Linked DNA regions of Xenopus tropicalis. The protein of the gene in region 1 purifies or fractionates together with the protein of each later gene. This does not show direct contact. Links are inferred from orthologs where the notes say so. Each region holds a gene or a part of one and is shown on either strand. Other genes may lie near its edges.

The links.
Region 2: the proteins of iars1 (region 1) and lars1 purify together in Homo sapiens (affinity purification with mass spectrometry; 7 studies listed by BioGRID and IntAct, counting the BioPlex papers as one, with this or other methods). This does not show direct contact. The link is inferred for Xenopus tropicalis from reciprocal best matches to the Homo sapiens genes IARS1 and LARS1.

Annotation. Positions count from the first base shown.
Region 1 is NC_030680.2:124,224,694-124,228,519, forward strand, and holds part of iars1 (isoleucine--tRNA ligase, cytoplasmic), read left to right. Parts: intron 1-195; coding exon 196-313; intron 314-672; coding exon 673-820; intron 821-988; coding exon 989-1,076; intron 1,077-1,613; coding exon 1,614-1,674; intron 1,675-2,151; coding exon 2,152-2,247; intron 2,248-3,637; coding exon 3,638-3,760; intron 3,761-3,826. UniProt on the Homo sapiens protein: Catalyzes the specific attachment of an amino acid to its cognate tRNA in a 2 step reaction: the amino acid (AA) is first activated by ATP to form AA-AMP and then transferred to the acceptor end of the tRNA.
Region 2 is NC_030679.2:39,733,142-39,737,673, reverse strand, and holds the start of lars1 (leucine--tRNA ligase, cytoplasmic), read left to right. Parts: upstream 1-1,537; 5' UTR 1,538-1,551; coding exon 1,552-1,557; intron 1,558-4,401; coding exon 4,402-4,520; intron 4,521-4,532. UniProt on the Homo sapiens protein: Aminoacyl-tRNA synthetase that catalyzes the specific attachment of leucine to its cognate tRNA (tRNA(Leu)).

The DNA.
Region 1 (3,826 bases):
TCCATTTAAAAAAGAAACATTAATATTTTAAATCTCGCAGGGCCTATTTTCTTATTTACCAACAAAAAATATCTTTAAGTTTGCTTACATGAGCAACATCCAAGGTGGTTCAGTGTCCTATACCAGTTATGGTATAGTTACATGGAGTAGCTTGCTTGTCCTTTATATATTTTTGTTCTTTGTTTGGGACTTTAGGTGGGTGTTTAAACAGCTTTATGACAAAGGACTAGTGTATCGAGGTGTTAAGGTCATGCCATTCTCTACTGCCTGCAACACTCCTCTCTCCAACTTTGAGTCCCACCAGAACTACAAGGTAACAGGATTTAATATTAACTCTTACAGTAAGGAACAGATTTATCATAGTGTCAATTTAGAGCTCACCATAGTAAAATTCTACCCTTCTCTGTTCATTTCTGTGGGGTTTTTAGAGACATATTTATCAAAGTCAATTCTCGCTTTTACCCATTAATAAATAGGTCTTTACAAATCCCATAGAAACGAATAGAGAGTGATTGCATTTTATTGTTATATTATTTCACACTTTGCTAAATCTGCACCTATGACTTAGACAAATAACATAGAAGGATATCAAAGCACTAAATCTCAGCACACATACAACTATTGGTCTCCAGTGTCCTAAATTACATCTTTTCCGTTGTTAATTTATTTCAGGATGTCCAGGATCCCTCTGTCATTGTCACCTTTCCATTGCTTGATGATTCAGGTGTATCTTTAGTGGCATGGACAACAACTCCCTGGACCCTGCCCAGCAACTTGGCCCTGTGTGTTAACCCAGAGCTGATCTATGTTAAGTTGAAAGGTGAGTCTTTAAGCAGCAGTACCTGTAGATCCTTATTTGGAGTGAGTCCACTCCTGTAATTTCGCCCCTTTATGTTAGCCAAAGCACAGTTCTATTGACTATGATGGCAGCAGTGAGTTGTTTTTGGAGGCCTTACAGTTCTACTTATGAGTTTTGTTTGTCTCCTAGATAAATCCAATGGAAATGTGTATATACTGATGGAAGCCAGGCTGTCTGCTCTGTACAAAGCTGAAAATGAATATGACATTTTGGAAAGGTACAACTACTACTACTACTACTACTACTACTACTACTGATAATAATCATAAACTGCAGGGTTTTGTGATAAATAATTACCAACTTAATATGTAACATTTTCAGGCAATCTTGTATGTGTGTGTACACACACACAGAGAAATGTATTGTTTTATGTTATATCAACTTTAGAGTAGTACAATTTGCATAATTAATAATCTTTTTTGGTTATTAAATAAATATCTTTACATTATTGATTGAATAAGTGTATCTTTAAATATATTTTATAACAGTGGTAGAAAAAAGAGCTTAACTACATGGGAGATTTTGGAGGATGGTGTTGGATCAACTGATTGCAGATTACAAGTTAGGCATAGTTGCATGGGTCAAAATATAGTGGGACTGATCTGATGAGTAAACTACATGGAAGATAATGTAAGCTTGGATACATAGCTTCTTCTATTTAGGTATAGGTTGCAGTTTTTGTTCTTTCCAGAGAACTTTTCTGAAGGCATAGATCTATATTTAGTTTATTTACTTGTTTTTTTTCTCTGGACAGATTTCCTGGCAATAACCTCAAAGGAAAAAAATACAAACCACTGTTTCCCTACTTTGAGAAGGTACATCTCTTGTTATATATGTGTTCTACATGTGTGTTTATCACCACATATTATATTCATACACAGGGTTTACCTTCTATCATTGCTTTCTCTACACCAGGCAGTGCACACTGAGCACAAAGTGTCTTTTGTATTTGTTCAAATAAATACTGCTAGGCGGAAGACAAGGCTGACAGGGCTCTATGCCAGTAGCAGGAAGTTGGTGATGCTTCTGTGGTTGTTAGTGGATTCTCGGGTTCTCTTCAGATTAGTCAAGTAATATAGCAGCAACCATTTCTATGCAAAAAGACTAAGTGGGCCATCATTCGTTTACACATATTTATAGGGGAAATACATGGACATGAACATGAACTCTTACCATTAAATAGGTTATATATGCTTTATACAGCCACAATAGGATTATTTAAATATGCTTTGTTTTACTTCCACAGTACTGTTGTTATCTCAAATTTCATGTTTACTCCTATGTTTTTACAGGCATCAGAAAGAGGAGCATTTACAGTTGTGACTGATAACTATGTGAAGTCTGAAGAAGGCACAGGAGTGGTGCACCAGGCACCTTACTTTGGAGCTGTGAGTAACATTTTTTTTCTAATTAAGGTGCATTATACCACCGATAGCCACTAGGTGGCAGTAAGATATCATGTGTTTGCTGGTGGCTTCAATTCCCGTGATTTATTTTTGACGTCAGCGGGCATATGTTATAGGATCACAGACTCCTAAGAGTAAAAGAATATGATATTGTTTTCTCACACTTCTCTTTTCTATGTAAACCAAGTAAGAGATTGCTTTGAGGGTTTCCTCGACTAACTGCTCTTTTGTACAGTTCGATGTCCAGTGTGCTGTCTCCAGAAACCCTGTTCTGCAGATGTAATGCTGTGACCTAATACTGTACTTCCACAACAAAAGCCTGATTGTTATACCAGTAGGGGCATGATAATCAGTAAAAATACAGCTAATTATGGTTTACGGGGAATAAAGTAAAAAATCGCTCTTTGGTAAACATGCCCCTAAAATCCTGCACAAGTGAAAAAAACTGGGGAGTTCCCCTCTGATGAGCTGAGGTGAATATGCCCCCATGCTGCAAGCAGTGTTTCCCTATTACCGCAATTTATCAAACAAAAAGTTCTTTTGTTTTCCTCATTTCGTTTAATGATTCACCTACTACGTGTTATGAAAAAAGGATATGGACTTAGGAAGGGGACAGTTTGATGAAGAAATATGAGACTTTCTCAAGAACAACTCAACCGACAGTTGCAACCTGGCAGGATTTAAGAAAATTTTTTTTTTTTTTTAAATTGATTTATTTTTTGCATGATTTGCTTGCAGTTCTGAATGGGTTGTCTCCAAAAGTCATGACAAATTAAAACCAATGGCCCAAACCTTTAATGAGGATAAATGCAATGACCTGTCCATTATAGCTGGCCCATATAGCTGTTTTATCCTTTTCTAAGCTATTATGCCAGCTGGACAAACCCCTTTTCCGTACCTTCCATAGCCTGAGAGAGGCCTAATGTAAATGGTCATTAATAGGTTTCCATAGGTATAACTATGGTATACAGGACTGCTGTCCAACTGGAGGCAGTGGGCTGGGTGTGCACTCCAGAGGATTTTTATGGCCCATGTCTACTCAGAGGCTCCATGGACTTCACTGTGTGATTTTTTTTAATTTAATCCAGCACTTGAACATGCTATATGAGAAATAATGTCCCCACTACATATAATAAAATGGACAGCACTGGTAAATGGTATAGGTATGTGGCTTTTTTTTTTTAGTAGTCTGGGTCCACACAAAAGATATCTGAAAATGTGCATGTTGTCCATCAGTTTATATGCTTTTAGCAGTTTTACCCTGCTTATATCATTCATTTGTAAAAACAACGCAACCCTGCCTTTCTTTGTATTGCATTATACAGGCTTTGACTGCTAGTATGACTTAAATAATACTAATTTCTCTTTTTAGGATGATTACAGAGTCTGTATGGATTTCAATATCATCCAGAAGGATTCAGTTCCTGTGTGCCCAGTTGATGCATCTGGCTGTTTCACCAAGGAAGTGACTGACTTTGCAGGACAGTATGTCAAGGTCACAAAATGAATCTGCACCTATGCATGTGTGTGTGTCTCGCTCTCTTCTCCCCACCTTTTTTCC
Region 2 (4,532 bases), on another chromosome or scaffold:
ACATAAAAAAAAAAAAAAAGGGGTACAGATATACTGGACCTATATTTATACTTTTTATACTGATTTTTATACTGATATTTATACATAATATTGCCTAGTGCAAATTTTATTTACTATTAAAAAGATTGCCCCTTCTTTCTACATCTACTATTACTCTTATATATATTAACTTAACGATCTGTTTGTTATAAAAAACTTTCCTTGTTTGAACACATGTACCTTTTCCTCAGACTGATTTGTAAATTCATGTCTGATTACCAACTGACCTTTCAGGTTTTTGATTGGTCAATTAAGTCTACATCAGCTAATTAAGTTTGAATAACCATTGGCTCAAGTTGTTTTAAATACGTTGTATGTATCAATTCTCATTCAGCCTATGATTAAGTACCAGGAGGTACGAAACGCGTAAGGCTCTTTGTATCATGTGTTAAATAAAAAGTTTTTTTGATTTTACCTCCACTTCTCATGAACAATTGCTATCCACTAATGATTTGACCGGAGTGCCTGCCTTTTTTCTATTTTTGAGCCGGACCAATAAACCTCACTTTATTTGCATTCAACCATGATGTACTGCCTGTGAATATTTTCGTGAGAATCCTGTGAATGCCGACACTTTTTCGACTATTTAATTTTGCTGCTCTGGCACCCAGGTATTGTACCTAAGATTTTGGTGTGCTCCCCACTCTGCATTCTATATATATATTTAGATATATATATATATATTTAGATATATAGAAATTCAAAGGGGAGCTTCATCCACAGTGAAATAAAGTGATAACCAACTGTTCAACATACATTCATTAAACATTATCAGGGGGTTTCAAGATAATTGTAAATGTTATTTATTTATTATTATCAAATGCAATATTAAATAAACTCTGGACTCTGACTCTTTAAACAATGTTACAAGCCACATAACAGGCCTAGAAAAAAAACCACACTCCTACATTTTTATAAGAGCCAGACCCAGAAAACAAAAAGAGAAAAACAAATACTGCTTATAGTTGCAATAAACTCTTTAATCTCTAATTAATGAATACTTTCTTGGGATAGGTCCCCATGAAAAAAGGTGTAATATCACACTCCTCCACAATTAACAGCTGATTAGAAGGGAAAGGGAACTTTAGCATGTTACTAACACTAGAGCGCCACCTAAAGAAGAAACAAAACGTCGTTCTACAGGTTTAGCCTAAAAGCATTTTAACTTCTGTATTCAAATTTCATCCACCTTCTACTCCCCATAAATTTGATAAAGCAGCACCAACGCAAAAACTATTTTTGATATTAAGCCAGGAACCCCTACCTCTGGCTGTCAAGCTACGGATGATGCAATTTCCACATGGTTGTGGACGTCTCACTGTATGGGAACTATGGGAAATGCCGTTCAAGATGGAACATTATACGAAGTCTAAATGGAAAGCAAAACTACAATGACCAGCGTGCCTTGCGCCCGTAACAGGAAGCTTCCATCTAGGAGCCGGCAACGTGTGTCAAGGAGCTGAGACAGTGTGTAGCTGTGCTTGGGCCTGAGGCTGCTGGGAGAGACTCACCATGACGGTCAGTGTGCTATGGTTATGCCTTTAGTTCGCCTTGTCTTTGGTCGGGATATAGTGGCCACTTAAATGCATGGCAGCGGTCTCGTTTGGAAAGGGGCGGTAGACTACATTAGCACGTCTTACACTGTGTTCATTGGGCATCCCCAGTGCAGCTGTTAACTTGCAACCAGAATTTCTCTATAAATGCAATGAGAGAAGTTTTAAAGGGGAAGTTCACCCCAAAAACTATTTTTGGCATAATGAAAAATTATAACCAACTTTCCAATATACATTATTTGCACCTTTTCAGTGGGTTTCTACTTATTTGAAAGTGTGATTGCCAGGGAAAGCAGCATTTGCTGATCACTTTTTTCCTAGCAGCTGACTGAACCTTAAAGTAGTGTAATAGGAGTCCTCCAGATCTGTTAAGCATCTGACATCTGCTACATTGTTTCAGAAGTCAGACCCAGCAGTGCAAAATATATAAACAGTCGTACAGATCCTGCCTTTAGTAGCATTTACATTTAAAAATAACTTCAAATCCAGTTAACATTTTCTTCAAATACACATATACGGTACAAATATACATAGGAAAGTTTCTTTGAAAACATTTTCCAACATTGTGCTAAAAAAAAAAAATATATTCTGTGGAAGATCCCTTTTCACAATGGCATGTCCAAGAAACACAGTCTCACAGTCTGCAAATGTGTCATTTATCTTAAAAAGAAACAAATTTTAATAACTTATTTTAATAAATGAGTGTCTGGCCGCTTTCACTTGTTATTGGATGCTCAGCATGGGCTTCTGAAAGTTGTAGTTCAAGACTGAATCTATAATAAATATAAACACTGCACTTAGATTTACAATTGTCACCCTGATGGATCCGTTTGCTCTGTATGGTGCCAGTTCATTATTATTATGCAGGCAGCTGTATCCCTGGGCAGTGGGGATATAGCTGCTTCTTTTATTATTTAGCTTTTTCACTTTTTTGTTGCTGTTTGCTAGGGATGTTAATAATATAATCATTTAGTCAATGAGATTCATTAATTCTAGAGTCACTGATAACTAGGAAGTATTTTAAATCCAAACTTTACTAGAGGCAGAGTATAAGAGTAATAACAATAAATAAAACAACCCAGGTCAGATGTGCTTGCACCTACAACTTAAAGTTCATTTAAGGTGTCCTCCTCATTTTAATATAGGGCAATTGTCCTATATGAATATACAGCCCAGTTAGTGTGGTTTATGTGCCTGCTTCTTGACCAAGGGAGACTTTATCTCCCTAAAGCTGGCCATACACGCACCGATACTATCGTAAGAAACCTCGTTTCGTACGATATTCGGTGCGTGTATGGCATGTCGGCGAGTCGACCGATATCGCAGGAAGCTGCTGATATCGGACGACTCGCCAATCGGGCGCCATAGAAGGCGCCTGACCAAAATCTGCCGTCAGGGCTGAATCGGCAGAAGGAGGTAGAAATCCTATTGTTTCTACCTCCTTATCTGCTGTTTCAGCCTTGACTGTGTGTGGCGGATCTGGCGATGTTTCGAAACATCGTCAGATCGCCACGTGTATGGCCAGCTTAAAACTTGCATCTTTTCAAGAAACGTACTCTGTTCCACCCTGCCTTGTGTCCAGGAAACAGGAGCACATTGTTTACAAGATTGTTATATGGAATATGGGAACATAAATTCTTAAAACAAAATTTCTGTGTCCAACCCCAATATAACATTGTGTGGCTTTCATTAAAGTGAGGAGGAGTATTAATAGAAACAGTAGTCTGAGACAGTGAACTCAAACTAGCTACACTAGATCAGTTGACCCAAAGATAGCTTGCTGATCACACTCAAAAGGAGAACATATAGAAATGTTCTAAGATCTGTTTGGAGGCTTTGTGCTTTTATTATTTTTTTTTCTTTTAATGCAGGGGTCTCTAACCTTTCTTACTCATGAGCCACAGTCAAATGTAAAAAGACTTGGAGAGCAACACAAGCACCATAAAAGTTCATGGAGGTGCCAAATAAGGGCTAAGATTGGCTATTAGGCAGCCTCTATGCACACTATCAGCTTACAGGGGGCTTTATTTGGTAGTAAATCTTGTTTTCATTCAACAAAAACTTGCCACCAAGTCAGGAATTAAAAAATAACTACCTGGTTTGGGGGCACCGAGAGCAACATCCAAGGGGTTGGTGAGCAACATGTTGCCCCTGAGCCACTGGTTGGGGATCTCTGTTTTAAGGTTAAAGAGCAGTATTTATCATAGCAATAAAAATAGCGGTTTGTGTTAAGTTCAGCATAAGCAGGAAACCTGTAACAGAACATAAAACTATGGAGGAGCAATATTTTACATTTTGTAAGGCCCTGTGTCCCAGGATACTTGTTGAGGGGCCACAATAACGACTAGGTGTTTCTTAGTAACATAGGGAATATTTGCTTTCTCCTATTGGACAGCACCAGAGCAATATATCTAACTGCAGGTTTTTTGGCTGGGGCAATTGCTGTTAATTCTACCAGATTACACTCTGGCACACTGCGTGTGGCTAAAATTGTTTTATAGTAAAAAGGCTATAACCTGGCAAATGTTCTTAGCAATACAGGAGTTACCTCTTTTTAGCCAGCTGAAACATTTCTTCTGTGAAGTGTGCATCACCATTGTAGATAGGCAGGATAATTTGTAAGTATTTTGTAAGACTGAATATTAAATCTTTCTTGGGCATTATGGCAGTAAGGCACACTGGAACGCGGGCTTTTGTTTACTATTAAATTATAGGTTTGCATCACGTTTTATTAGGGCTTATACTACATAGTCATGCATATTTAGTGTGTGGCATAACTGTCCTCTAATACTTATAATTTCTGTTAAAGGAGCGAAAAGGAACAGCTAAAGTTGATTTCCTCAAGAAGATTGAAAAAGACATACAGGAAAAATGGGATGCTCAGAAACTATTTGAAGTCAATGCTTCTGATTTGCAGGCTCAGAACAGGTAGATTGCACT